Caenorhabditis elegans: one gene and its partners. The protein of the gene in region 1 purifies or fractionates together with the protein of each later gene. This does not show direct contact. Each region holds a gene or a part of one and is shown on either strand. Other genes may lie near its edges. The genes, in order: unc-24, mec-2 and mec-4.

Region 1 (9,305 bases):
CATTTAGTGCTTTCCTCCACGATGTCCTCCTCTGAAATGTGGACGACTCTTCCACAAATCGAAAAGTTCTTCCTTGGCCTTTTCGCTGAGATCTCCAAGAATTTCAAACTTCTGCTTGTTCAATGCTTCAATCTTTTCATGTGCCTTCTTTGCTTCATCAGACAATTTTGTTTCCTTCTCCTTGTATTCCTTATCTTCCTTTTCCTTCTTCTCCTTGAACTCCTTGAATTTCTTCAAGTTATCTCCATCAAGTTCCTTCTCAGCAAGAGCTTCAATCTTTTCTGGCTTCTCACTCCATGGAACTGATCTGTCCTTGAAAATAGCTTCGAATTTTGCAAGTTTGTCTTTTGGAAGTCCCTTAAGGAATGGAAGAGTTGGTCTTTTGTGAAGATTTTTGCGAGCATCCTTTGGAAGAGAATCGATAACTTCACGAGTCAATCCTTGTTCCTCATAACACTTATCTCCTTCTTTGTAATCCTTCCAGATATCATTAATCTTTTCCTGGGCATCTTCTGGAAGACTGTCCAAGAATGGTGGAATTCCACAAGGTGGAGATCTCTGGAAAAAATTCGTTGATAATTGAAAGGATCGCAAGACTGTAAAGGCCTAAAAGCTATTCTACACTTTCATCCGATAAAGATTTCGGAATCTTTCATTCTCAAGTTCAAAACATTTATTTTTCAATGTCTAGCTAGAAAAAACAAAAAACAGCGCATAAATTGAATAGAAATAAAACTTACTCTTCCTCCAGGCTTTGCCTGAACTGAAACAATAGCTAGTAGAATAGCGAAAAGAATCTTCATGGCTGAAGATGACTGACTTCAATATCAAGAGTTGGAGATTTTATACCCAATTTACCGTCTCGGCGAATACAATAACATTGGAGGCGTAGACATAGAATGAGATGAAGAATAATGATAAATTCATTTGGAACAGATCTTTTGATTTGGTCATCGTTGTGTGTGGGTTTGGAAAAGGTTGACAACTGAAGATGTGTGGAGTGTTTTTTTGAATTAAAACATTTTGAAGATAGTGGAAGAAGTCAGAAGAAAATAAATCATTTGAAAGAAACATCAAGTTTAAAAGTAGTTCCCTCATTTTAAATTGAACTTATCAAGAGACATCGGAGTCAGGTAAATTATATAGTTTCTAATCTGAAAGCAGAACATTTCCAACTGATCTTGCTCTCTTTTCCCGCTGTTTGGCGCACACTTGGCATTGGAAGATTGTGCTCAAAATGTCCAGGTTGTCTTTTCATCGAGCTTTTGCCAATATTCGGAAAAGATTGGCCAGAATTGATAACAGAGGCTTATCCAAATCCTGCACAAGCTTTACCAAAGACTTTCCAAGTTTTCAACCAGATTATTATCTTTTTGGGTTGATTTGCTAGGTTGGCGCCAAACGCCTGGAGATATTGGTTGACCTATAATATAAAAATTGATAACTAATAAGACACAAATTGAACATTTTTTGTTTACAGAAAAACATGTTTCGATTGATGCAAATTCTACAATCACATTGAACATTTGAGGATTAATTTCTAAATGCTGTTGGTGTATTTTATCTCGAATATTTCATTTTCCAGTTTCTCACCAAACCTTTTCCAAACCATTTCATTCTTTGTTCAAATCACATTCAATTCCCATTGTTTTAGCCAAATCAAAGCAATTTGCTGAGACTGAAACTTTTAATATAAATTTAACATTTTAACAATACAAAATATTTTATACTGTTCAATTCAGATATTCGACCAATTTTTCATGTTTCATTTTTAGAATATTTTGACAAAATCCCAAGTGGCGCTTCTCCAACAACCGTAGTTTTTAGACAGGGTAGAACATGTTATGTAAATGAAAATACATTAAAGTCAATTGTGTTTTTTGTTTCACTATATTTTTTAAAGTTTGTTCATTATCAATAACTTTTCAATGTCACTTTCAACACATTTTTCTTGTTGGCATACACTGCACGTTGATCATCAAAGTTCAATTGAATTCAAAAAATGATTCTTGTTTCAATTTCTATCAACTTGTTCTTTCTGTAGAACTGGTGATGATCTTCTTAGATGAAACTGAACTATTACAAAATTGACCACACAGTCATTCAAATCTTCTTTGGTCTTCGTCGAATCTTTAAAATGAATGACATCATCAGCAAGTTGTCATAATGAAAGTGAATAGCTGTTATCTCCTTTCTTTTGTCGAGTGTATTTTTCTTCGAACGGCAAAAAATGATATGTACCGAACGGAAAAATGGGCGGCGCCTTCCAAAACAACAACAACCGCTGAGATCAGCATCAAAATCGGAGAAAGGGGGTATGTTTGAGTACAGAGCACTGTTTGGCGAAGGGTTCGGTTTCTGAATGGTATAAAAGGACAAGAATTTGGATGAAAAGGACATCATTCAACAATGATTTCTAATATCTTTAAAATCTCAGCTGCTCTTCTTCTTTTGACTATTGTATCTGAAGCTAAGCCTTGCTTCGGAAGATGTGGAGGTGTAAGTTTTTCTTCTTTTTTTTTAATTTCCAAAAATTCTGACAATTTAAAAAAGCTTTTATTTTAGGTTTAATTTTTTGGTTTAATTTAAGGTTTAATTTTTTAAATGCTACATACATTTTACCAAAATTCAAATATTCGAAATTGAAAAATCCAACCTAAATTTAAATTTCGTTTTATGCTCAAGAAATTTCATAGAAGTTTCTACTTTAATCAGCCGCTAAGTGCAAATTAATGAACTGTATTTCCTATTTTAATAGCCATATAAAACTCCGTCTCAAACTACAAACATTCCAGCGTCCACCACCACCATGCGGACTTCCACCATTCCTTGAGGATCTTCCTTCTGATGTTCAAACCAAGATAACTGAAATCTGGAAAGATTACAAAGAAGGAGACAAGTGTTATGAAGAACAAGGATTAACTCGTGAAATCATGGAATCTCTTCCAAAGGATGTTCGTAAGAGCATTCACAAGAGACCACCACTTCCATTCCTTCGTGGACTTCCAAAGGACATCCTTGCCAAGTTTGATGCTATTTTCAAGGATAAGTCAATCCCATTCAGTGAGAAGCCAGAGAAGATTGATGCTCTCGCTCAAGAAGTTCTTACTGGAGATAACTTGAAGAAATTCCAAGAATTCAAAGAGAAAAAGGAGAAGGAAATGCAAGAGTACAAAGACAAGGTAAGAATAAAAAAAAAGATTTTTACTCAAAAGGATGTTGAATATCATTCTTTCAGGAATCGAAGCTCTCCGCAGCTGCCAAGGTAGCCAACGAGAAGCTTGAAGCTCTCGGAAAACAAAAGTTTGCAATCCTCGAAGAACTTGATGAGAACGTGAAGGATGAGCTTTTCGATTTGTGGAAGAGCCGTCCTCATGGACCACCAAGACATCACTAGACGATAATTTGACAGCGATTTTTGTAAATATCTATGACAGAATTTTATTCATTCCCGATTTCCCGATCACTTTTAATTTATATTGAAAAATACATATATTTAAGATTGAATAATAAAGATTTCTATAAAAACTTTTGTGTACAAATAATAATTGGTTCCCAAATCTAAAGATGGAATAGTAAAGATATTATTAAAATATACGTAAATTGGGCGAAAAACATTCTGAATTTTTAAATTTTCAAATGTTTAAAACATGGTTTTGATAAATTTCCAAATTTTCCAAAGTGTTTGAATTTTTGAGCTAAAACTCAAGAATTGCTCCAAACTTAAACCTACAATGTGTAAATACAAATTTCAAAAAAGCTACTTTTTTTGGTCGACTTCCAAAACGTTGGCAGGTACAACTGAGTTTCTACCATATTCAGACTGTGAAATAATTTCAATTTTTGAAAAGTTTTACTATGATATTTGTTCATTTTAGCACGATAGGAGTGGTTTTAAAGTTTTCCCCACCGCGCGGTGCACCGCCAATACTTTACCTTGAGAATTTAATTAAAATGTAAAACTCGTAGAACATACTTGTTGACTTCCAAAACTATAATAGATTAAAACTGTGTGCATACACTTTTTCATGTAAATAAAACACTACCGCCTACCTTTAAAAAAATTTAAATTACAAAGTCTTCAATTTTGACTTCAACAATTTCCAACCTAACCCCTAAATTTTCTCATCGTATTCTTGGTTTGTAATGTGTGACAGACACCCTACCATTATCTGTGTATGAGTCTTTTGGGACACTCTTCTATCCAATGTCATCCGTCCTCTCAAATGCAAAAATAAATGCATTTGTGCTCACGGAGCCAAAGAATCGATGTGTGGTCCCGGACGCCAGAGACGCAGACATTCGAAACGACTAAAGCAGATGCTCAGTGTTAGAGCTCTTCGTCTCTTTCTCACACAACTACTTCATCTTTCTCTTGCTCCATTCAATATGACGTTCTCTTCTTCGTACAAATATTCGGCGCTGGCGCAAAACGATCCAGAGGCACCAGAAGAATTAGAAATGAACAGTCTTGAAGGATATTCTGCAGTCGATTTTGGTGATCCAAGTCAAAGTGTAATGGAATATGGAATGCCTGAAGGTTCATATGATTCCGTTTTTACATATGCTCCTTACAACGATCTCGATAAAATGGGATATATGGGTCCAGCAAGGTAATTTTTCAACAAAAAAACTAATTAACTTTGATATAGATGAAAAATTAAAATTTTCCAATGTTATCTTTCAGTTAAAATGGAATTAAAGTTTTATTAAATATTTTAAGAATTATAATTTAGCGATTAACTTAATTTTCATAAAAGTGTTTTACAACATGCATATGAACAATAAGAATCACTATTCAATAATTTTTCAGGCAAGGAATGATGCTGGGAAATAAATACGGAAACTTCACATACACAAGAGATTATGGTGTTAATATGGAAGACGATGTGAGTTTTTATTTAATAAATTAAATTTTGGTTTTCTTTATCAAAACTTAATGTGAAATTGAGCCATTTAGGAAATTATTTGATAGTAAAACTTTGAATTGGTTTTTTTGAAATATTTTTATTTTCAGTAAATAAAAAAGTTGAAATTACTCGGTTGTTGAAATTCGCCAAAAAATGTTCTACAATTACTATGATTTTTTTCCATCTGAGCATTGTAGGCATTTGAACAAGCAACAGTACTCTAAATTTCTTAAAAAGCATACATTTTTTGCAGATTTTGGCAAAATAGAAACCTTAACAAAAATGGAAATATCTAAACTAATTGAAACACACACGAGACAATTTAATTAAAATATACTTATGATATCTTAAACATGTTTTTTTTCAGATAAAACCCCTGAGCGCCATTGAACTGTTGATCTTCTGTGTTTCATTTTTGTTTGTTGTGATGACAATGCCCTTATCATTGCTTTTCGCGTTAAAGGTAGTAATTATAATTTTCTAGAGAACCGTTTCTCAAAATTTGCTTAATTTTTCAGTTCATCTCTACCAGTGAGAAATTGGTAGTTTTACGCCTGGGAAGAGCTCAGAAGACAAGAGGACCTGGTATAACTTTAGTTATTCCATGTATAGATACAACACATAAAGTAACAATGTCTATTACTGCGTTCAATGTCCCACCACTCCAGGTTAGCCTTGACAATATTTTGTCTAAAAAAAAATTTTAATTTACAGATAATAACCACAGATCGTGGTCTCGTGGAACTCGGGGCAACTGTTTTTCTAAAAATTAGAGATCCAATTGCAGCTGTTTGTGGAGTTCAAGATAGAAATGCATCAGTTCGAACATTGGCAAATACAATGCTATACAGATATATCAGCAAGAAACGGATCTGTGATGTAACCAGCTCACAAGATCGAAGAATAATTTCTGCTAATTTGAAGGATGAGCTGGGATCATTTACGTGTCAATTCGGAGTTGAAATCACTGACGTGGAAATTTCCGATGTGAAAATTGTGAAGGAAGGAGAGAACATGGGGATGTCTGCGTTGAGCAGCGTTGCGAAATCCGATGCTGGTCAACAGTTGTGGCAAGTTATTGGACCAGTATTCGAAGACTTTGCAAAGGAATGTGCAGCTGAAGAGAAAGCAAAAGAAAATGCACCATTAGTTGATTTGTCGGATGTTCCCTCAACTTCAGCTGCGGGAACTTCTACAGATACACCAAATATTCCTTCCATTGATATCGACCATCTTATATCTGTGGCAAGCCTAGCTATGGATGAACACTTAGTCCGTCTAATTGGCAGAGTTTTCCAAATTAATTGCAAAGATATTGAGCCCATTTGCATTGATTTGAAACATGGATCTGGAAGTGCGTATAAAGGAACTTCCTTAAATCCTGACGTGGTTTTTGAAACGAGTTTGGAAGTATTTGGAAAAATTCTAACAAAGGAAGTATCTCCAGTCACTGTATATATGAACGGAAACTTAAAAGTGAAAGGAAGTATTCAGGACGCAATGCAGCTAAAACACTTGGTGGAGCGAATGTCAGATTGGCTTTAAGAAAATATACTCATTTTCTGTTCTCTTTTTTCTCTTTAATAAATGTTTTTTTTTTAATTTAAAGATTTACACTATATTTTCTTGTCTTTCAGATATTATTTTGTACAGGAATGTTTTGTTTTTAAAGTAATATTATCTAAAATACATCCAGTCACTTAAAATTGTACAAAACAGGCTTTTGTGCGACGAATAAGCGGCCAAATCGAGAGATCTCATCGAGAAATAAATGCATTCTTCAAGGGAGGGCGCGTTTTCTGGCTGACGGGTCTCGCCACGATCGACTAATCGAAATTACACGTGTGTGGCTGGCTGGACGACATCCAGCAAATCGACGTTGCTATTGCCGATTTTTACCAAATTTTCTGGATTTTCATCATTATTAATAAATTTTCAAAATATTTAATGTTTGAAATGGATATATTTCTTGTAAAAAAGCTTTAAAATGGCTATAAAGACGAACAAAATAATTGTTTTTTGAATGAACGTGTCACATGCTTTGGAGTGTTATGTATTTTTCTTTTACTATCGTTTTTTTTAAATTCTAACTGGAAATTTGTTTTAAATTATATAATTTCAGGTGTTGAATCAGCTCCATTATGGGTTTAACAATCTCCTCCCTCTTCAATCGCCTTTTTGGCAAGAGACAGGTATGTTTTTGTAATGCTTAATCTCACAGTTTTAATGTGTTAATTTTAAGGTTCGTATATTGATGGTCGGACTCGATGCTGCCGGAAAAACTACGATCCTCTACAAACTCAAGCTTGGAGAGATCGTCACCACGATCCCAACTATCGGTAAGTATTTCAGGAAAATATTTGCATTTTTCGAATCAATGGTTATTGCAAAAGAGTCGCAAGTTCTATAATATGTGTGTTTTTCAGTATTTCATAATTCGTAAAAATTAATAATCTGATATTACAGGATTCAATGTTGAAACTGTTGAATACAAGAACATTTCCTTCACTGTGTGGGATGTCGGAGGTCAGGACAAGATCCGTCCACTCTGGAGGCACTATTTCCAAAACACACAAGGACTTATCTTCGTCGTAAGTATTCGAATCGATTTATAAATCTAAAATATTTTAAAAATTAAGGTTGACTCGAACGACAAGGAGCGTATTGAAGAATCACGTGAAGAGCTACATAAGATGCTGAACGAGGACGAACTTCGTGACGCTACTCTTCTCGTTTTCGCCAACAAGCAGGATCTTCCAAATGCTATGACCGCCGCCGAATTGACCGACAAGCTTGGACTTCACAATCTCCGCTCAAGACAGGTGAGTGGTATTCGAGATTCCGTTCTCTGTTTAGTCTTATCTGCATAGACGATCAAAATTTGAAACCGGACAAGCGTATTAATCTGATCGAATAAAAGATTGTCCACTCACGGAATAAATAAAATTGTTTCCAAATTTATAATGTAAATGAAAAATTTTCAGTGGTACATCCAAGCTACATGTGCAACTCAAGGACATGGACTCTACGAAGGACTTGACTGGCTATCCAACCAGCTTTCCAAGACCTAATTGCACAACTTACATGTCCAAATTCCCTTCTCCTCCAAAATGTGTAAATCCCTTTCCCCCATTAAAATATTCTTAACCAACAGCCACAATAATCCACGCAGCCGTTTTAATTTTGTTAAATAGAATTTGATTGTTTGATGGCACTGGGAGCTTCTATTTTCTGTGTGTTATTGGTACCCATCTCTCTCTCTCTCTCCGTCCCCCCAACTTCAAATCGGCCCGAGCCCTGTCCTAATTTATGTGATATTTGGCCGTCTTTTTTGGTCAAACTCTCCGAAACCACCACTGTGAACTAGTCGGAGAGCAATCGATGGCTGGTCCACTTCATCGCAACAGTTTAATTTATTTGAGGGTGTTGATGAATAATATTTTATAAAAACATGTAAGTGTGGTGGATGTTCATTTTTATTTATCGGAAAGAACGCTAAGTTTAATAAATTTCGAATTCCAAAAAAAGCATGAGAGCGAGATTAAACAGATGGCACAAAATTGCATAAAGTAATTAAAAGCTGAAAATAACTTCAATGTCCACATCCGAATCACCACAATGGCTTGCTCGACAGAATGTGAGCTTTTCTTGCCTTGGCCTGATGAGCTCTATTGCTCAAAGCACCTTGTGGTGTCATGTCAGCATCCACCGGAGCAGCCATTGCATTTCCCTTGCTCTGATGACCACTAACAGCGTGTTGAAGCCAACGGGTATCAGTCATTCCAGTTCCCAATCGACGTGGAGTCATTGGACGACGCCAACCATCTGGTGGAGGTTTTTCTGAAACGTCCAATAGTTTAATTTCAGTGAAGTTAGAATTTTTGTGGTCAAAATACTATTCTACTAAAATTACCGATTCCATTTTCAGCCGACAAAGCTAGGAAGAGCTCCTCGAAAACAACGAAATTGGTATTCTGCCATACAGGCTTGATAAGTCCGTACTTTTGTGACATAAAACCAAGAAGAGTGACTGATGGATTATCAAGAGCCAATTGATAAGGTTCAGTGTGTTCCTGAGAGAACATGTAATCTAGAATTTGTTGTCCAACTCCTTGGCGTTGACATGAGAAGTGAACATAAAAGTCCAGAAGACACAGAATCTGAAAAGTAAGAGGTCGAATGAAATGATAATTCAATTCACCTCTCCCTCATAAGTCTGCATTTGAGAGTCATAAAGGAATAACTTCTTTCTTCCTACTTTCGCGAATCCCATGAGTCGACTAACCTTCTCTTCTCTGAAAAATCAAAATTTCCAATTTCCAAAAAATATTAATACAGCGTTTCGATAAAAGGCGCCTATTATGTATCAAATATTACATTACTAGGTCGATCAAT
Region 2 (9,680 bases), on another chromosome or scaffold:
GTCTGTACAGCGGCTAGGAAACATCAGAGAAAAAGACCAGGAAACACTCCATTTCGATGATTAGAATCTAGTATCAATCAGTTTTAAGTTCAAATGGGAAGGCTTGAAATGATGAAGCCTAGCAGGTGATTCTCGGTGGTTATTATGAATGAACACTGATGGAAGAGAGAAGAAGCCCAACTACAGCTTAAGCTCATTTCCTGAGGACGCACTTTTTTAGATTCATATCAAATATTGTTTAGTATGATTAATTTTTATCCAACGATTGCGCTTGGTTTGGACCATTATTTAAAAGAAATGCATAAATTTCAATAATTTCGGACAGCACATTGTGACTCTTTAATTCCATGAAAAAAGGACCAGAGGCTGTTTACTATTTGAGGACGGCTGGCTCCAAAACGGCTGCTTTTTGACCATCTGGTGCAGCTCAATATTCCTAATATAGGATTTGTTTTAAGAGTCCTAATTGCTAGAATTTTGAAAACTTATTGTCACTTGCGTGGTATATGTATTCCTAAAACGTTTTAAAACAAAAAACTCAATTTTATTCAACACTTGAAATTTGTTTTTTGCTGCGCCCGAAGTACCAACATTTTGTTAAATTTATAAAAATCAAAAGGTGAATTCTTTTTGTATTTTTGGTTCAGAAATAATAATTTGAGTACTTTAAATTGAAAATAGTATGTATTACGTAAAACAAGTATTTAGTAGTTTATTATTATAAAGATTAATATTTTCCAGCTTTTTAGGTACAGCTTCTACACAATTACTTATTATACTTTTTTCATCATTTCTAGGCTTAGAAAAATCATTTGATACATTTTTGGCTACAGTCTACACAAATACTATCAAAAGTTTATGTGCTCCAAAAAAATTTGCAAATCTAGAAATCCTCGTTTTGATCTGCTTACTTCATTTATTCCACATTGCTCATGAACTCCCAAAGGATCATATCGTTTTGTTTATTTTTTACTTTCAAAACAGATGATGTTCCTCCTCAAATTTTCCCCCAAAAATAGGCGTTCCTCACTTTTCCTACGCGTTTTTTTCTCAAAAAAGGCCACCCACCTCGCGTCTCAAACGACAAAATAGTGAGAGATGCGTCGCCGCCGAAAAATTCAACAAATTAATTAATTGGTCCGGGAGAGATGAGGAGGCTCAAGTCAGTCAACGGCGCGCGCCCCGAAAAACAGCTTCCTATACATCCGTTCTTGTCTTTGCGGCAATGCACCAATTGCTCTCGGGGTGCGAATTGAGCCATTAGCCGATTCGGCTCCACCCCTCAGCGCTAAGAAACGTGTGCTCGGGCGCGCGAGAGTGTGACACAGCGCAGGCGGAGCCTCAATAACTCATCTTTGGACACCTTCTGTCCTACAACTCCCGCTAACTACCATCTCCGTAGTTGTGCAATTTCCAATCCCAGTTATCTATATTTATCTATTATTCGCATCTTCCCTCATTTTATCTTGAATTAACTTTGTATAATTATGGAGTCGAATCTTGACGTGGGCAGTTGCCTACTGGACGAGTGCTCGAGCGCCGGATCGCATCGCAAACTATCAGCATTATCAGCAGCGTCCAGTCTCCACGCCCCATCAGAATCCTCGATGAGCCGGAAGCGAAGCATTCGGGAGCGAATGGCCGAAATGGCAGATAGCAGGAGGAATCCGAAAAAGCCAACTCCACCTAGTATTTTCGAAGCTGCACAGTTGATCGGCAAATTTTCCGGGCAACGCATTGATTTGTTATCAGGTAAGTGATATTTCTGTATCTTGTTTTTCGCATTTCACTCTGTTATTTAAATTAAACTAATCTAAATAATATTATAAATGTAATGTGGTTTGATACTATGATCAGACCCTATAATCAAATTTCCAAATTATATACGAATTCCGATCTGCAGTAACATTTGTTTGAACAGTCAAAAGAAAACAAAATGTTTAGTTCATATAATGTTGATTAAGCCAATTTTTGAAGACATCCCTTCCCTTCGTAATTGCTTATTTTGAGAACTTTTGGGAAAACAAAATCTAACCAGTCATTACCCATCCAAATTGGCAGCTCGTTAACCAAATCTTTTCTTAGCCACTCCTTCCGTCTCTAAAATCCCATGAATCATATTCTATGGAATTTGGAAGTGGGTTCTGAGTAACTTTTGCTGCAAAGCTCCGTGTTCGGTGATGGGAAACACATAAGAGAAAGGGGAAGAAAAGTTTAAAAGAAAGCCCCTCTTTGAGAATTCTGATTATAAATTCGGCATATCCACTTATTCTTCTTATCCTTTCCGCCGCGAACATTTTCGAAAAAAATGCGAGCAGAACATAAAAAACGAGTAAAGTTAGGCTGTCAAGAAGAAAGTCTGTTTTATTCATCAAATCCTCGCTCGACATTCACTTACACTCTTACTTTTAATGCAGAGTAAGCTTCTGCTATTCTTGATTGCGTGATGGCCATAGAAGTCGCTTTCGAGGCAAAGTCGGAAATCTGTGTGTTGAGAAGAAAAGGAAGAATGAGTTAATGAGGGCTAGGAAAAGTGAGACGAGAGCTCGAAATTCCTGAGAGCACCTAAAAGCGTCCACCCAAAGAGTGTTAACGTTATGTTTCCCATTTTGCAAAATTGTCAGATACTTCAAGTACTTTCAACTTTTTCAATAAGCCCCCGCAACGACAAGGTTGATTCAATTGGTGTGCATCCTTTTTTCATAACACATACACACATGAAATACATCTTCCATACGTTATGTGTATTTGCAAAAAAAACGCTTCACACCGGAATGACACGTTTCCGCACTCTCAGTTAGCAACAACTGGAGTGTGTTCAAAACAAAAAAAAACGAGAATTCGCAACCAATCTGAAGATGAAAACGGCTAGTTCAAATGGCTTTGTGCATTCGTCATAGTTGTTTCTCAAAACACTCCCAATGGTTTTATGATACTTAAAAATATAATGAAAAAATCTCAAGTTTCACATAATCCATCTTTGTGTCTTTTTTCGAAAGTTATTCTTGACGATGGCGTGGGAAACATATAAACAATACAACAAGAAGTCAGAAGGAGGAGGATATAGTCAGGAGGAGGAGGAGTGAAAAAGAGCATTTAATGAAAATGCAGTGAATCGTAAAGGACTAGATGTTGTAAATTGTGTGTCTAGTTTAATTTTTTACACGAGGAATTCATGAATAAGAAATATAATACAAAGTAAGAAATATGGAAAATTCGAACTAACAAAAAAGGGTATACTGACAATTTTGATAACAGTTGTCAAAAAAGGACCATATGCAAAAAAATACGTTTCGTAAATAGTTGTTTGTTTTGAAAATAGGGGTTATTAAAATGTTATGGCTAAATATCATAGTAAAACAAACTTATACTCTAAAATTAAAACAAAACATTTCTTCGATACATTTTATTTCTATCTTTATTTTGAATTGAGTTTTGGAAATTGTGGAAATTAAGCTGTATGTTTATTTTTGGGTTTTTTAAACTTTAAAATTTATTTTCCATTTTCCGCCTTCAATCCAATCATACATTTATATTTTAGAACACATTTTTAAAAGTAGGTCGTATCATCCAAAAATGTATCAAATTTTTTAAAACCATTTTTTGTTGCAAATTTAAAAATCATAAAGAATTTGGATAATTGCATAATCATTTTTTAAAGAGTTTTTTACAGCACTCTGTCCCTTTGACCCATTTTCTTTAATTTCATACAACCTAAAATTATCATAGTTTTCCCCAAGAGGTAACATTGAAAGTTAGGAATTTTCATAAACAAATTGCGTTAACGTGAGGAATCTGATAAGAAACGTGGACTACTTTTAATTACAAATTTAGAGAGTGTTGAGAGTTTCAGAAGAGTTACAGAAGAGTTATTTCAGCCACCATTATGTATCTCATGATTAAATGTATTTCTAATAATAGTTATTTAAAACTATATCATTTGAAATTAATTTACGGCTTCGAAGCGTTTCGATTTTCAAGAAAATTTTCAGCTTCCCAGGTTTCCCGTTCACTGTTTCCATTCGCCTTTTCCCGCCTGACCTTTTTCCCAAGAAACTACTATTCTAAAGTCCGACCTAACATATGCATATAAGTCCTACTATTCAAGTTTCTGGCAACTTCAAGATCCCAAAACGAAAATGTTCTCGAAACTCTTGCATTACAATGGACAAGTCACGCCAGAGACAATAGGCTAGTAGCAAGTTCTTCGCTGCACTGTTACCCCTAACTGTTTTCTTTGCATTTGTAATCAGGGACGTCATATACCAATTGGAGCAGAGTCGTCTTCTTTTTGGGGTGTGAGCCCGGCTTGCTCAACGAAATCCATACATTCGAGAGTACATCCCACTATTCGCCGAGTGTTTATGTGTCATTCGTGAATCGTGTCCCAGTAGTCTGTGACTGAATGCCCACACATTCAATCTATGAGCGCCACAATGTCATCAGCTCGCAATTCGGTCGTTTCACTATCTTCAAACGGCTCTGTCAAGGTCGAGACTCGATTGGTTAGCAACGAACGGAGCTCTAGTATTCAACAGGAGGGCGCCATGCTCCCATCATCCAGCTCCAAAGACGATGATCTCTTATCAACGTCATCGGACGAAGTTGAGAATATGGCGACCAGGACTTTACAGCAACTTGAAGAGGTGTGTGTCTATTAAATTTTTTGGTTTCCGGATTATCGTATTTGTTTCCGCTGTAGAGTACATCAATCATCTCGGCCAACAGCGACGATGACTCGGTGAAAAAAGAAAAGCAAGCTGAAAAGGATGTGGAGAAAGGAAATGGAAAAGAGGAAAAAGGTAGAAACTACAATCTTTGTCACTTATTTGATTGAATTAGTCATACATATGTAGAAACTCGTGCTTTCATTTGTTAAGTGACAACTTTAAGGTTCAAAATGCTGCTTTACTCTAAAAAAATGTTCGAAATTGTTTAAAATTGTGACACGCTGTTGTTAAAGCTTTAACAACTTATTCAATTATTTAAATTTCTGAAAACTGATGTAAAATACAGTATTTTATTGGGTCATATCTTAGTTGTCCTTTGTTATATCTTTGAAAAAAAGTCAAATGACGAATGCTGTGTTGTTTCTATTTTCATTGTTCTGTAGTTAATCATTTAGTGGTATTCTCACAATGAACCTAAATTTAATTTTTCAAAATAAAACAGTGAAGTGCAATACAAATAGAGGAAATGCGGTTAGCCGACAAGTAATGCTTAAATGTAATTCGAGTTAACCTTGGTACCGATTTGTCTCACAAGTTTCTGGTTATATATACTTCGGTAATATTCTTTATCATTTAAACGTTTGAATGCGCCAGTGGAATTGTGAAATACTACTGGTAAATAAAAACCAACCAAATATAATAATAAAACGTTTCAGTTTTTGAAAATGTTTTATAGACAGTCAAAAAGTGGCGATTTCTGAGTTCATGCTACATTTTGAAAATGCTAAAAATCCCTTGTTTGGCGAGACCCAAGCGCCTACATAGAATACGGCAAAGTTTCTCACCTTTCGACTTCTACATAATATGAAAATTCATTATTTTTAACAGTCAAGTTCAACACAGGCTGGCTCATAATTTTCAATGATCCTGTTTTTTTCTGATCTCTATTTCTTGTCGTATACATGTCGTCGTGCTTCGCCAATTCTCATGATGAAATTCAATAACAAATTCTGATTACTAGTTGTAACACCTCCAATTCTGGTTTTCCTTTGTTTTTTTTCTTGTAGCAAGTTGAGTTGTTTGATATAACTGAGTTCTTAAATCTTATAAACGAAAATTAAGAAATCAGTACTAATAACTAGAAACTATATATTGAAGAAATTGGAGATGTTGTAACATTACGCGTTTGTCGTTCCTACAAAACAAAAAAAATAGCAACAGACTTTCTTAAGCTTAAGGCTTAAGGTGAATTAACAATTAACTACGTTGAACTCAACGATTCTCGAATCTGGTTGAAAACAGCAAATTTACCGACTCATTAATAGTAATTGAATATCAGTACGATTGTTTACTACTTATAAAAAATGGCAGCACCGGTTAGACGTTCCTTTTAAGTGTCATTCTTTCAAATTATCGTGAACTTCCCTTTTATTATCCTGCTCGCACCGGTGTTTTCCACATATTTTCGCAGTTTTCAGTTTTTAGTATTTCCCAGCGTTCCAGCTCACCACGAGGTACCCGACTGACGACAAAAATAATAGACATATTTAGCAGATAAGCAGTCGCTAAGTAAATGAGAATTCTACTTGTTTGTTTCGTCTTCTGTCTGTTCCCGAACCCCTCCCTGTCAGGAGTTTATGTCTGAAAGTAGTTTACGCACCTCATTTTTCTTTCTCGCTTTCATAAGCCAGATGTATATTGCCTCTGGAAAATAGCCTCTCTTTCGGGCCTCGGTTATTTGTATGTTTTTCAACTTAGTCGGTTTTTGTCGCGGGACTCTTTTTTTCCTGTTCCCTTTTTCTGAAAGTTTGGGTGTTGTTTGAAGAAAAAATATAAATAAAAAACAAACGGTGTTCTTGACATATCATTTTGAATATTATGCACGTTCTCGGTCTGCCTTTATTTTTAAAATATTTTTGGCGGCTGTTTTGTAACAAAATTCAGTTTTTATTTTCTTTAGCACAAAATTAAAAAATAACCCGTTCAAAAAGATTGACTTTAAGAATTCTGAGAAAAGACAAATTATTTTTAAGTTTTTTATTGTTCCTGTCGTCGAAGTAAGGCATAACAAAAATCTCATTTTAGAAACGATGTTTTTCACATTTTTTGTTTTGTTAAAGTTTTCTACAAGAAAAGTAATTTGGAAGAGTGAAAGAGTTTATCACAGTAGAGAACACTGCAACCAAAAAAAGCAACAAAAACATAGTCAGAAGAAGTTAGTCACACTATGAGCTTCGTCTTCTTAAACAAAAATTTTCGGTTCGAAGAATTTAAGCATTCCCTCTTAAATTTTTACGCTTTCTCTAGTTGTTCAATGTTTACTCTGAGTGCAATCATCGAGAAAACGTAATTTTCTCTCTTTTTTGGCCTTTATGTCTGAAAAATCTTTAATTAAACATAAAAGTGCTTTCGTCCTATTCTTTCTTGATTCCACACAATGGAATTAGGCATGAAGCAGATATGCAACATTGGTGTGGTTTTAAAGTCTACCTGCTCTTTTTTCGTTTTCTCAACACAACCAATTTAGGCCATTCGTTATAAATGCAAATCTCTAAATTTCGAAATTTCAGTAAAAAAGCAATGCTTTCTCAGAAAACGTTTGTTTCTCAAAATGGAAAATGGCTTCACAGTTAACCCCATAAGTTGCCAATAGTTTTCCTCATATATTTTCCTAAACTTTTTTTTTCAGTAGTTCCTCAAAATAAGCATACATCAAATTATCAAAACACGATTAAAACATTTTATGTAGAAAAAATTTTTCTGGTCAACTTCCAAACATTATGGTGATTTTTCACCATTTTTCGACTGCAAAATGTTAAAAAATGTTTTTAAAAAATTTTACCACGATATTTGGTAATTTTAGCATAGTTTAAGTGATTTTAAATAGTTTTCCCTCTGACTAGTGTTTTTCGACAGGAAAACAAGTTATAAATCAGTCAATCTTGTTTTATTAGTTGTAGTTTAAGGAAAGGATCAAATGGATCATTTGTTTACACAATTCAGATCTCATCTGGATAAAAATTTATTTTGCTTATTTTCGTGAAGTTTAGATTGGAGAGAGAGAATAAATCTCAAAAATCACAATGAGATTCTAATATATACACACCATTAGTGCCCACTATCACTGACACTATTTGGTGTATTGTTTTTTGTATGATTGTTATTAGGTTTTTTTTTTCGAATGAGGATGCTTGTCTTTCTCGTTTTATTTAGTCGTTTTTTTCTTTTTGTTGAGCTCATTCTTCATATTTCTCAGTTTGTTTTTATATTTATGCAACGATCCTCGCTAACCCTTCTCAAGACTTAATATAGCTCATTTCATTCCGTGTACATGGATTCTGGAACACCGTCCTCAACGATTCAATACTTGTAAAAAATAATGTATGACGATCCGGCCGAACGAAAGTTTTCCGTTCCACCACCTCGCGAATTCAAATTCTCCCCGTATATCCCACGTATTCACACTGATGTGAAAAGACCACCGACCGAGCCACTGGGAGGTAAGAGAAGATTTTCCTTCCACCCACACGAGAAAATAAAACAAAATAATAGTCTATTGTTTCAAGTTGCCCTTTGCCCAATTTAAAAAGACGTTGACAAGTCCCAAAGGTCCAGGAGTTTCCCCATCTCTTACGTTGTGTCTAACTCCCAGCTAACCCATTTTTCAATAACTTTGTTTTGTTTTCAATTTGATTTCCTCTACACATTTTCTACATCATTAGAACAAAATTTCAAACTTTTTCCAAAATGCTCTACCAAGAGATTTTCTTTACACCTATTATCCATATGCGACGCAGAGACGATCCGGCGAATGGGAAAAAATCTGGTACTGGTTAGGCTTCACCCCCAGGATTCTTAGAAATGAAAAAAAAAAACTAAATTCAAACAAAACCAAAACATGTGTGAATCTTGTAAATGATTGCTATGTATCGTTGTATGCCAAGTAAATTTTTGTTTTATTGTTTTTCTGAATAGTTCAAGCTATGCAAAAAGGTGAGTGATAAGCAATGCATTCAAAAATAAAAATGTAAATGTAAAAAATAACCCATGATCAGTATATTTCCGCCATAAGGTGGCTATCGTATATCATTTTTTAAATTCAGTTTGTTAGTAACAAGCTTGAAATACATCACTATAATACATTCCGTGTTGTCGGGGCGACACAAGGGCGCCTTTTCTACGCCTCTTCATTCGCCCTCCTCGCACCTTATTGGCTATCTACACTGTGTACAATGTGCACATTGTGCACACTGTGTGCAATTTTTGGCCATAGTGTTAAGACGGTTCACATACGCTACTAAACGTTTGTTTCTTGTATTATCCAGTCCGTATTGTCTTTTGACAAGCCTTTATTGTTAAATGCAAAAAAGTGTGTGCCTTAAAAAAAACACATCATCTTAACAAACCGCAAAAAATACGGCAGAAAATTTATTTAAAAAGGTTACGCAGACACAAGCTCTTGGATGTACAGTATACAATTTGAATGCTCACACTTTTTGCGGGTACCAAACCGAATTTTTTACGCAAAAATTGTAAAATATCGTGTTCACATCACATTTCATTTTTTCACTGCTGTCCATAGGTCCACAATAAATATCTACGTCTTATCGAAATCCCTTAATAATCTCCACTTTACCTAGTTTCTTGCTGTTTCCTGCCAACATGTAAATATAGAAAAAGAAACTAAGATACTACTATTTTTGAAGTCAAACATCTTCTAGTCATCCGCAACTAATGTTACTCATCTGGATAATCTCTTGCCTCATTTTCAAGATGTTTTTGTTTTTGTGCATTCCTTTATTGAAATGGAATCCGCTAATCTTCAATATCACCTTGACGAGAACAAGATTTTCACCCTCGTTTTTGAACCAATGTTCTTTGATTCTTGCCTTTTTGCAGCAAAAATGTGATTGTTAAAAACTTTCTCAGTTTTTTCTAAATTTTGTTAACAAACCCCCCCCCCCCCACATATGCAAAAAAAAAATACTTAGGCATTCATCCACTGAATCC
Region 3 (11,300 bases), on another chromosome or scaffold:
CTAATTATTGGACAGCTGAAGAACCTCCAAGATCTCGTCGGCCAATACGATCGGAAAGCAATTCTACTCTATTCGACAATAACTTCTCTCCACGTGAGCTATCTCCTTTGTCAGTGGCCAGTGAGTACTGTAACAATCCTCAACCAGCAAGTATGTACGGTCATCGAAGTGTCCAAAGTCCAGTTCCAGCATTTCAAGATGCTCCACCCCGAGGTTATGACAATGTGCCACCACCCCAATCATACAAGCAGCCGACGCATCCGTCGCCTTCCCAACGAGAAACAGATTTTTTGAGAAATCTGCAACGTCAGAAAGCCGAAGCACACAATATGTCTTCGAGCTGGTATGCAGGGGATCAGTCGTCTCGTCAGACAGATTTTGGCACTCTTCCGTCTCCACAACACTATAATTCTAATTCATCGGATCACCATCCGCCAAGACGATTAGCAAAAACCCAATCGGATTTGTCGTTTGACTCTCTCAACAACACTTATTTCAATAACACCTCAAATCATACTCCAAGTAACACCTTCCTCAATCATTCTACTGTTGATAGTCATAATAATAGCTCTGGTCAACTTCATAATTCTATTAATAACTACACGGCAAGCACGAATGGTAATCAAGGTCATCGATTGGATGGATTTTTCCGAAACCGAGTGATTGAGCCAAACTGGATGACTGACCCACCACCGCCAAAATCGTTCCGGGAGGATTACATTATCAGAAATGCACCTCTCAATTCAAATTTGAACTCGGATTTTGAACGCTTTCGGTTAGAGCCTACTTATCGTGAGCCTAGAGGTAATTCCTTGGTGTCTGAGCAACCCAACTTTCGGAGCTATCACAACGATGAACCGACTCAGGAACAGCCTAATCCTCGGTATCAACGCTCTTCGTCCAATTTCATGCAACAACGAGATCCGAGCCCTGTAAGATCGCCTCCAATCATCTCATATGCCCAACAATCGAATCCTTTTTCGTTCCCAAACCCGATAAATCAAGTCAACTATAACCAAGAAGATCATTCATCAAGAGTATCAACAGGCGGGTATCAAGACCGGCGAGTGGCACAAGCGCCGAAAGAAGCAACAACAAATGTCTACCAGAATGTTCCAGCCGCAGCAGCGGTAAATTTCCGAGAGAAAGAGCGGCCAACCAGTCAGTATTTGGAGTCGAATCGTAATTCGGCAGCGTTCCCTAATGAACCAATAAAATTGACAAATGATCGTGTACTCCGGATTCATCCTCATCAGCAGGTACAAGACCAATATCATCATCATCAAATGCCCGAAGAGCCCCATTATCCCCAGCCACATCAGCCCATTCAACAATCTCAACGTGCTAGGATTCAATCACCACTTCGTGATTTCGCCAGACTCACTTCCCCAATTCGTGAGGTTGCCCCTCAACCATATCATCCGCCACAGGCGCAGAATCAAAATCAGAATCCAGAGCGAATTTTCAGTCCAGTTGAGTCAAAAGTGTTTAATCGATCGGGTCCAACTGTAATTAATGGCTTCACGAGTAACCGTCACACGTATAATAGTCACACCGATGATTTCGATTCGAGAAATCGACGTGACTCGTCTCAACCACCAGTGGCTATCATTGAGCCGAATATCAATGTTCACATGCCATCCGACCCGATGCCATACAACAAACCTCATTTCGGACATGGTCACGGGCATAGCAACGGGAATAATAATGTACATTCGGTGAAACCAACATCTCACTACTCAAACCCAACGTTTTCACCGACTTCAACTTTTTCACCAAATTCGAACTACGACAACGATAACGACAGTGATCTGGATATTGAGGAAATGGCACGTCGTGCGCTTCCGAGGTATCTACGAGACAATGAAAAAACGGGACGACACAGAAACTTATACGGCGACAATTTGCACGGGATTCTTATCAAAAATCCGTCACTTCATCGGAGTTCTTCAAAGAAAGTTGTATTTATAGATCAGAATAAAGGTAAAACTTAGTAAATTGTAAATTCAAAACTAAAAATTCTAGAAATAAGCAAACCGGTTCGATACTTTTGAATTAATTAAAATAAAGTTAATGTTTTCAGCGTCTGCTGCCGCTTCTGCCGGTGACTCTGGAGAAGTCCCAGCTCATGTTCGTGCTTACGATGATGCCATCGAGGAGCCACTGGCCAATTGGAGCAAGTTGACAGATCAACTCGGCGGCGATCTTGCTGCTGTGGTGAGTGTTCAAATGATGTTTTGTATTGATTAAAACAAAAATAAATAAAAAATTGCACTAATCTATTATAATTCCTTATCTTTATCCAAATTACCCAACATAGAATAAGAGTTTAACATCGTAAAACAAATATTTCAGAAGCCAAAAGTGTTGGCTATGTTTGCCAGTATGCGCAACTATTTATGGTCTGCTGCTGGAAAATCGGAGCCATCGGCCGAGGAAGCTCAGAAGATGCTCACTCCAGTTATTAACTTGCTTGGTGAAATCAACAATTTCAAGGACACGAAGAGAAAGACCCCTCACTGGAACCATCTCAATTCGGTGGCTGAAGCACTTCCGGCTCTTGGATGGGTGACCGTGGTATGTTAACATTCAAAAGTTGAAATAAAATATTACTGTGCTCAAGATTCGATAATCTTAACATACATATTTTCTAAACTGCTTCTAATTTCAGAAGAAAACCCCAGCTCCATACGTGAAGGAGTTCATTGAGGCTGCTCAATTCTACATCAACCCAATTCTCCGCGAGTTCAAGGAGACCGATCCAAGACACGTTGAGTGGACCAAGGCTTGGAAGGCTGTATTTGAAGAGATGCAGAAGTTTGTTCGTCAAGTTCACACTACTGGTCTAGTCTGGAACAGCGCTCCAGGAGCCGCCCCTGATGCTTCTGCCTCTGCTCCATCTGCCGCTGCTCCATCAGCTCCAAAAGCTCCAGCAGGTCCAGGAGGACCACCCCCACCACCTCCACCACCACCAGCCGACTTCTTCGCCAACATTGCTCCGCCACCAGTAGATGCTGACAAGGCAAGCCGTGATGCTCTCTTTGCTTCGTTGAACCAGGGAGAGGGAGTTACTTCTAGACTGAAGAAGGTCACGGCCGATATGCAGACTCACAAGAACCCAAACCTCCGAGGAACCGCTGTTGTGCCAGCCGCTGGTGCTTCTCAGGGCGGCTCATCTCCTGCCAAACCAGCTGCTCCAGTAAGGAAGCCACCACACAAGGAGCTGGAAAACGGAAAACAATGGATTGTGGTAAGTGTTTCAACAACTTGAAAAACATATTCAATAAGCATTATCAATGAAAAACTATTTACAGGAGTACTTTGTCAACGATCCAAACATTGTTCTCGATGTTGCCGATAAGAAGCAGACTGTCTATATCTACCGTTGTGAGAATTCTGTGATTAAGGTCAACGGAAAGGCCAATTCTATTACTTTGGACGGGTGCAAGAAAACGTCTGTTGTGTTTGATGCCCTTGTGGCTCAGTGCGAAACTGTCAACTGCCAATCTGTGCAAATTCAGGTAATCAGAAGACTTTTAGTTGTACAAGCTTCAATACAAGCTCAAATACAATACTATTTTTTTTCCGTCTGAACATAAAATTAGTTTCTAAATAAAAAATGTGAAAATAAATATTTGGTTTTAATCGTTAAAATCTTCCAAATTACTAATAAAGTTCAGTCAACTATATGCTTCGAAATTCACTGAATCTATTATTGTTATTAATTTTTAGACCCTTGGAGAGCTCCCAACTCTTTCAATCCAGAAGACTGATGGATGCCAGGTGTACTTGTCAAAGGTGGCTCAAGGATGCGAGATTGTCACTTCCAAATCCAGTGAGATGAACATCTCCGTGCAAACCAATGATGATGGGGATTATGTAAGTTTTTCGGATTGTAGAACCCAATCTAAATTTCCTTTTCAGTCGGAGTTCCCGGTTCCGGAGCAGTTCAAGACAACTTTTGTCAATGGCAAGCTAGTCACTGTCGTCTCGGACATTTGCTAAATCTTCTCACGTCATAACCTTATTTTTCAACTTCATGAACTATCCCCTCGAACTTTTTTATTTGTCCCTGTCTACAATTCTTTATAAGCAATTGAGACACACTTTGCTTTATTAAATAATACCGATTTTGTTTTGTATATGCATTGACTGGTGCTCAACTATTTTTATTGAAAAAATTACTTTTTACTGTCTCGTCGAATAAAAGTGATCCCTTCCAAAAAATAGTTATTCATGTTTGAAGGTTTGTGATCGTAGAACAATTGCACCGAATGTAGTGTAAAAAAAATTCCAGAATGTTCAAATACATTTCCACCCTCACCAGAACATCTCAAACACCAGGCACATTTCAACACACTTTCATGGATCTTATCTTGCCTCAAAACCATCAGCTTTCTTCTCATTCTACAAGTATGAAACAATCTACTATTCTATACATTTATAATGTAATGGAACCATGTGAAGACATGAGCAAGATCATTGTCGTCAGCGACTACCCCTCCTTCATTTTTCTTAGAGTATCAGTTTGCTAATGCTATTTTTTTTATCGCTATCAAGTTATAGAATGTCATGGATGCAAAACCTGAAAAACTACCAACACCTTCGGGACCCATCCGAGTACATGTCCCAGGTTTATGGAGACCCGTTAGCGTACTTACAAGAGACGACTAAATTTGTGACAGAAAGAGAATATTATGAAGATTTTGGTTATGGCGAATGTTTCAACTCTACAGAATCAGAAGTACAAGTGAGTTTACGTAATTTTCAAATTGCAACGGTAAATTTTATTTTTGTATGCAATTGTATTTTGTTCCCAGTTTTTGAAATATTCGTTATATACATTGAAGTTTTTCAACTGTAAATTTGAAGGCCCGTATTTTCTTAATTCTTCGATAAGTATTTTGTCTTTATAACTACTAAGTTTTTGCTGAATCAACTTGTTTATTTTACTTTGATAGCTTATCTGCAAAACTGTACCAAAATTAAAAACCAAGATTTTTTGTTTTGGAACAATATAATCAAAACGCTTAAAATGTTCAATAAACGGTAAAAAAAATAAAACTTGCAAAAAGTCGCAGCTGAGTAATCTAACATTTCCGAATTTCAGTGTGAACTTATTACGGGAGAATTCGATCCAAAATTGCTACCCTATGACAAACGTCTAGCCTGGCATTTCAAAGAGTTTTGCTACAAAACATCTGCTCACGGAATTCCCATGATTGGTGAAGCTCCAAACGTATATTATCGAGCAGTTTGGGTCGTACTTTTTCTTGGATGTATGATAATGCTCTATCTTAATGCTCAATCTGTGCTTGACAAATACAACAGGAATGAGAAAATTGTCGATATTCAATTGAAATTTGGTAGTTTGAAAAATCATGTGCTCCTTACTGAGCTTTTTTATTTCCAGACACTGCACCTTTTCCAGCAATTACGCTTTGTAATTTGAATCCTTACAAAGCAAGTTTAGCAACAAGCGTGGATTTAGTAAAGCGAACGTTGTCAGCATTTGATGGAGCAATGGGAAAAGCCGGAGGAAACAAAGATCACGAAGAGGAACGCGAAGTTGTCACCGAACCACCCACCACCCCTGCACCCACCACAAAACCGGCACGTCGTCGAGGAAAACGTGATTTATCTGGAGCATTTTTTGAGCCAGGATTTGCAAGATGCCTTTGTGGAAGCCAAGGGTCTAGTGAGCAAGAGGATAAGGATGAGGAGAAGGAGGAAGAGTTACTTGAAACAACTACCAAAAAGGTATTTAATATTAATGGTGAGTGTTGCATGTCAAATGAGCATCGCGTAAAACATTCTTTTGAACACAGATGCCGATGAGGAATGGGATGGAATGGAAGAATATGACAATGAGCATTATGAGAATTACGATGTGGAAGCAACTACTGGAATGAATATGATGGAAGAATGTCAATCAGAGAGGTAAAGTCTAGTCTAACAACTTTGACAAAAAAGTGTTTGAAAAAGTCTAGTCTTACAATTTTGAGGTACGGTAAAGTTTGTCCATTTTGATAAGTCCAATTTTTGAGAAGGCTCAATTTTGCCTTCCATAAATTTGAAATTCATATGGTTCCAAAATACAGAAGTTCATAATGAGACGTTTCGAAATGTTCTCCACAAATCTTTTTTCTCGTTCAGAACAAAATTCGACGAGCCGACGGGATTTGACGATCGGTGTATTTGCGCTTTCGATAGATCAACTCATGATGCGTGGCCCTGTTTTCTGAACGGAACCTGGGAAACCACCGAATGTGATACTTGCAATGAACATGCTTTCTGCACCAAAGATAACAAAACTGGTAGGTTTTTCAATCACTTTGCCAAACTAGCTTCACTTGTTTGATTTTACTCTTCTTAATTTTTATTGTTGTTTTTTTCTAAATCGGAATTTTTCAGCGAAGGGCCATAGATCCCCATGTATTTGTGCTCCATCTAGATTCTGTGTAGCATACAACGGAAAGACGCCACCAATTGAAATTTGGACATATCTTCAAGGAGGAACTCCAACTGAAGATCCAAACTTCCTTGAAGCTATGGGATTTCAGGTAACAATCACAAATATATAAATCAAGTGGAAACTGAAAAGTTTCAGGGAATGACAGATGAAGTTGCAATTGTCACTAAAGCCAAGGAAAACATCATGTTTGCAATGGCTACCTTGTCAATGCAAGATAGGGAACGGCTAAGTACTACAAAAAGGGAACTTGTCCACAAGTGCTCGTTTAACGGAAAAGCGTGTGATATCGAAGCGTTAGTTAGGCTTTCAGATATGATATAAATTCAATTATTCAGAGATTTTCTGACTCATATTGACCCTGCGTTTGGTTCGTGCTTTACCTTCAATCATAATCGAACAGTAAACTTGACTAGTATTCGAGCAGGTTAGTTTCCTCAAAATTTTTTCCACATATTTTTTTCTAAAATAATTTTTGAAGTCCGTTATGTATAAACCAAAAAACGTGTTCCGATTCCAGGTCCCATGTACGGATTACGTATGCTGGTTTATGTAAACGCGTCTGACTATATGCCAACCACGGAAGCCACAGGCGTTCGTTTGACTATTCATGACAAAGAAGATTTCCCATTTCCTGATACGTTCGGTTATTCTGCTCCAACTGGATATGTATCCTCATTTGGATTACGATTGGTATTAGAAATTCAAACTCTTTTTATAGAGTAATGGTGTTGTTGTTTTCAGCGAAAGATGTCACGTTTGCCAGCACCTTATGGAGATTGTGTGCCAGATGGCAAAACATCGGACTATATTTACAGCAATTATGAATATTCGGTAGAGGTGAATAGTAAACAGAATTTAAGCAAGTTTAGTAGGAAAAATGGGTCATAGAAACTTTGTGATTCTTGTTAAAATAGCAATTAAATATAGAACTTAATATGATAACAGAGGGAACTATTCCAGGGCTGCTACCGTTCTTGCTTCCAACAACTCGTGCTGAAAGAGTGCAGATGTGGAGATCCACGTTTCCCAGTCCCTGAAAATGCACGGCATTGCGATGCAGCAGACCCTATTGCAAGTTAGTTTCAAATTTGACATCTCCATAAATATTTTTTTCTGCAGGAAAATGTCTTGACGCCAGAATGAATGACTTGGGAGGCCTACACGGATCTTTCCGTTGCAGGTAACTTTTGAATTGTTATATACTTTTTAAATAAAAAACTGCAATTTCAATTTTAAGATGCCAACAACCATGCCGCCAGTCAATCTACTCCGTTACATACTCGCCGGCAAAGTGGCCGTCGTTATCTTTGCAAATTCAACTAGGATCGTGTAATGGTACAGCGGTAGAGTGTAATAAGCATTATAAGTAAGTTAATTCAAGAAAAAACACACTTTAAAATTGGGCCTATTTGAGAGAGAACGGAGCAATGGTGGAAGTGTTCTACGAGCAGTTGAATTTTGAAATGCTCACTGAATCAGAGGCTTATGGGGTGAGTTGAAAAATTTAGGCAAAGAACGTGTATCAAAGAAATGTATCAAAAAAATTCGAAAAAATGCCGAATTACTACTAGCGAGCAGGCAAAAAAAAATTTATTTTTATTCCAAAAAATTTATCTCAACTATTTCTAGTTTGTCAACTTGCTAGCCGATTTTGGTGGACAACTCGGTCTTTGGTGCGGAATATCCTTCCTTACCTGTTGCGAATTTGTGTTCCTTTTCTTGGAAACTGCCTACATGAGTGCCGAACATAACTACTCTCTGTACAAAAAGAAGAAGGCTGAGAAGGCAAAGAAAATTGCGTCTGGATCTTTCTGAATTTGTTTTTTCTTGTTTTAAAGTTACCATTGCAATGTTGTGTCTTAAAATAAAAATTTACATGAGAATAATTGAATAATTTTGGGTAGGAAATTATTCAATTAATATTTTACTTACAATAGACACAAAGAAGTAGGAGAAGGGGAGTTTAAAAGACAGAAAAAAAAACTACTGAAGAGAAACATATAAAAAACAGAAACAATCACTCGCTGAAGGAAAATCTATTCACAGAAACAAAGGGGGTGACAAGTCAAGTCATAACTTTAAATAATTATTTGTATGGTTACTTGTCAAAATTGGCTGAAAATGAAAGCGGCACTAGAATAGCATCAATTAAAATACGTGGCATTTACGGAGGTGAAGGGGGGAGGGGCAAAACCAAACAGAGTCAAGAAAAAAAATACAAAGATACTGTAAGCTGCAACAAAGTGAACCAATATAAGAAACGGGGGTTTCAAGCTTAATACAAGGAATGGAAGAAATAAATTTTGAGACAGAAAAGTTGAATTTTACACAGAGCATTGTTGGCATCAAGGAGTGCTTAACGAGCCAGTGTTCCAATCAATGCGGCGCAAATCTCAAAGAATTGCATAGTCTGGGAAAGCTTAGCTCCTCCAGGAGATGGTGGTGGTGTCACATCGCACTGAAAATACTCGGTCATTGAAAATTAGTGCGTTAATTATTTAAAGGTAGTGGCATCAACTTCTTGTCACTCGAAGATTTTTAAAAAACCTATAACTATATCAACCACTCCAAATACAATTCCAGTTATTTGTAATACTTCACAATAAAAATATTGAAATAAAAGAAAAATATTAATTCTCACCGACATGTCCGAAAAATCATGCACTTCCATTTTCTCAATACTCGCCTCCATACTCATCGCCTGTGGCATGCTTGACGTTCTAGTTCCACGAATTCCGGCCGGCTTCTGCGGCATAGACATTGATGCGTGTCGGGATGAAGATGCACTGGCGGCTGAAATTTTTAATGAATATTGGTTGAGGTGGAAATTATATATTCATTTGACCCATTAGGAAAAAATGCATACAAAAAAAATCGTCTTGAGAAGACTTGACGCTATTGAAAAAGAATTTCCATTGACCTTTTTATTTTTCCAACTGCAAAGCAAACTTCGTTTTAAACATTTCTGAACAAAATTATTGTGACACGTTAAGCTAGACTACATGCAGAAACTTAGGTTATAGAGGGGCATGTTCAGAGACCATTGCAAAATATTATTCTACGGCTTTTCAAATTCAAATTGTGATTTTAGTTTAAAAAAATGCACTAACTTGTATTTTCTAGTATTTTCTAGAACGATTAACTAAATATTTTAAACAGGTTCCACTTTCAAAAAGTTCAATCTAAACAAAGAAAACCCTTACATCCAGACTCCTCGTCGGCCAAACTCTTGAAATCCAACAAGTAACTTCTCTGATCCACTTGGTACAACTGCAACGACATCTTTGGCGGGTCGGCAGCGGGTGCATCAGGCTTGCGACGAACAATCACATGATATGGGTTGAGCACCTTCCACTCCATGTCCAGCTGCTTCATCGCACGGAACACCTCGAACATGATGTCTTCCGGACGACTTTGGGATCGGATACCCAGATGCCACTTGGCACGTTTGTTGCGGTTCGCGCCACTGGCTTCCGTGTTGTCGAGAGTTGGTGTGATCTTGCTGCTGACTGACGCTGAAATTGAAGATTTAGATATTGTTTTACGAATTTCATGTTCGATGCAAAAGTTTTATTATTCTTTGCCACCAAGAGTTTTTCTATGCACCCTCTCCTACCTGCAATGCGCTCTGGATGGCGATGAACTGGTCCAGGTCCCTTATTCGGCGTCACTTGATAAAACTCCTCAATTGACAACTTGGCAGTCTCATCGGCAATTCTCTTGTTATCAACAATCAAGTTATATGCAATCGACAAATGGTGATGTGGATCATCTCCCAGCAATGCTGAGGTGACTTCCTCTTCGGCGACATGATAGCGCTGAAACTTTTCATTGTGATTAGAAACTTCTGCTCCTATCGAACACGATTAATACCTCAGTGACCTCTCGGACAGCCTCAATATCAACAATGGAAGCCTCACTCTCGTTGATTGGTGGGAACAAGTAGTTCGGCAAATCCTTCTGGAACCACTCGTGAGCACTGAAAATATAAAGCAGTTATTGTCTTGTTTCCTTGGCGTCTCATAGCAACGATGTTTGTTTTTTTTTTCTTTTTAGAAGACCACTTACATGACGTCCTTGATGGTGGCCCTCTTCATCGGGTCTACGCAGAGCATATGGTGAAGCAGATTTACAATTGGGCGCTCCAGAAAGTCTGGAGTTGGGAATACGCCAGCTAAAAAACATATTTCGTGAACGTTATAATTTTTAATGATTCCAATTTAAATTTCAAACATTTATCACCCGGGCAGTGCGCCAAAACATAGTAATAGTGCCTTTTGTAATAGGGATATTTCAATTTTCAAATCCCATTTCGCTTTCATATGTCTAAATGAAATTGGTATGTTGTCGTAATCCTTTGCCATTTTTGTGTTTTGATTCTCATGTCACACTAACGTACATTTAATTTTTCTGAAAAGACTTGGCACGTGCTCATCATCAAATGGCAGGGTTCCACAAAGAAGTGCATACAAAATGACTCCACACGACCATACATCAACTTCGGGACCTGCGTACAACCTGCAAAACAAAGTTGTTGTGTCTAATCTTGTTCAATTACTTTAATTGGATTTCTACTAGTGCAAAATGTCGTCTTGGTGTTTGCGAACACATGTTTCATGTTTTGTTATTCAGTTCTAATTTGGTTTTTATTTTACATTGAACCATGATCAGGAGACCACCATAATCACTCACTTTCCGCTAATAACCTCAGGGGCAGCATAATTTGGCGATCCGCAGCTGGTGCGTAAGAAGTCACCATCCGTCATAATATTTGAAAGTCCAAAGTCCGCAATCTTCACATTGTTCTGCTCATCGAGCAACAAAT

What was found.
Region 2: the proteins of unc-24 (region 1) and mec-2 purify together in Caenorhabditis elegans (affinity purification with western blotting, with the first as the bait; one study listed by BioGRID). This does not show direct contact.
Region 3: the proteins of unc-24 (region 1) and mec-4 purify together in Caenorhabditis elegans (affinity purification with western blotting, with the first as the bait; one study listed by BioGRID). This does not show direct contact.

What each region holds. Positions count from the first base shown.
Region 1 is NC_003282.8:7,975,494-7,984,798, forward strand, and holds unc-24 (Band 7 domain-containing protein), read left to right. Parts: upstream 1-4,376; 5' UTR 4,377-4,389; coding exon 4,390-4,613; intron 4,614-4,805; exon of another isoform or gene 4,806-4,813; coding exon 4,814-4,889; intron 4,890-5,277; coding exon 5,278-5,373; intron 5,374-5,428; coding exon 5,429-5,578; intron 5,579-5,624; coding exon 5,625-5,789; intron 5,790-5,834; coding exon 5,835-6,455; 3' UTR 6,456-6,518; downstream 6,519-9,305. Other genes in the region: F57H12.6 (DUF148 domain-containing protein), read right to left, coding at 4-558, 741-803; ora-1 (Onchocerca Related Antigen family), read left to right, coding at 2,410-2,499, 2,796-3,182, 3,239-3,397; arf-5 (ADP-ribosylation factor), read left to right, coding at 7,052-7,102, 7,153-7,249, 7,377-7,501, 7,550-7,732, 7,895-7,981; mec-17 (Alpha-tubulin N-acetyltransferase 1), read right to left, coding at 8,521-8,750, 8,824-9,070, 9,112-9,205.
Region 2 is NC_003284.9:5,571,545-5,581,224, forward strand, and holds the start of mec-2 (Band 7 domain-containing protein), read left to right. Parts: upstream 1-4,424; coding exon 4,425-4,646; intron 4,647-4,702; coding exon 4,703-4,802; intron 4,803-6,401; exon of another isoform or gene 6,402-6,456; intron 6,457-7,992; exon of another isoform or gene 7,993-8,049; coding exon of another isoform or gene 8,050-8,170; intron 8,171-9,680. UniProt on the Caenorhabditis elegans protein: Subunit of an amiloride-sensitive cation channel (degenerin channel complex) permeable for sodium, potassium, lithium and N-methylglucamine, and required for mechanosensory transduction (touch sensitivity).
Region 3 is NC_003284.9:16,800,382-16,811,681, reverse strand, and holds mec-4 (Degenerin mec-4), read left to right. Parts: upstream 1-4,566; 5' UTR 4,567-4,567; coding exon 4,568-4,750; intron 4,751-5,110; coding exon 5,111-5,366; intron 5,367-5,413; coding exon 5,414-5,776; intron 5,777-5,828; coding exon 5,829-5,940; intron 5,941-6,156; coding exon 6,157-6,317; intron 6,318-6,414; coding exon 6,415-6,563; intron 6,564-6,610; coding exon 6,611-6,768; intron 6,769-6,810; coding exon 6,811-6,899; intron 6,900-6,992; coding exon 6,993-7,165; intron 7,166-7,216; coding exon 7,217-7,312; intron 7,313-7,435; coding exon 7,436-7,550; intron 7,551-7,594; coding exon 7,595-7,655; intron 7,656-7,712; coding exon 7,713-7,841; intron 7,842-7,889; coding exon 7,890-7,965; intron 7,966-8,104; coding exon 8,105-8,290; 3' UTR 8,291-8,361; downstream 8,362-11,300. Other genes in the region: cas-1 (C-CAP/cofactor C-like domain-containing protein), read left to right, coding at 1-1,983, 2,084-2,217, 2,356-2,577, 2,672-3,250, 3,315-3,521, 3,733-3,879, 3,925-4,005; aak-2 (5'-AMP-activated protein kinase catalytic subunit alpha-2), read right to left, coding at 8,832-8,933, 9,117-9,268, 9,679-9,990, 10,092-10,299, 10,349-10,454, 10,544-10,649, 10,875-10,993, 11,168-11,300.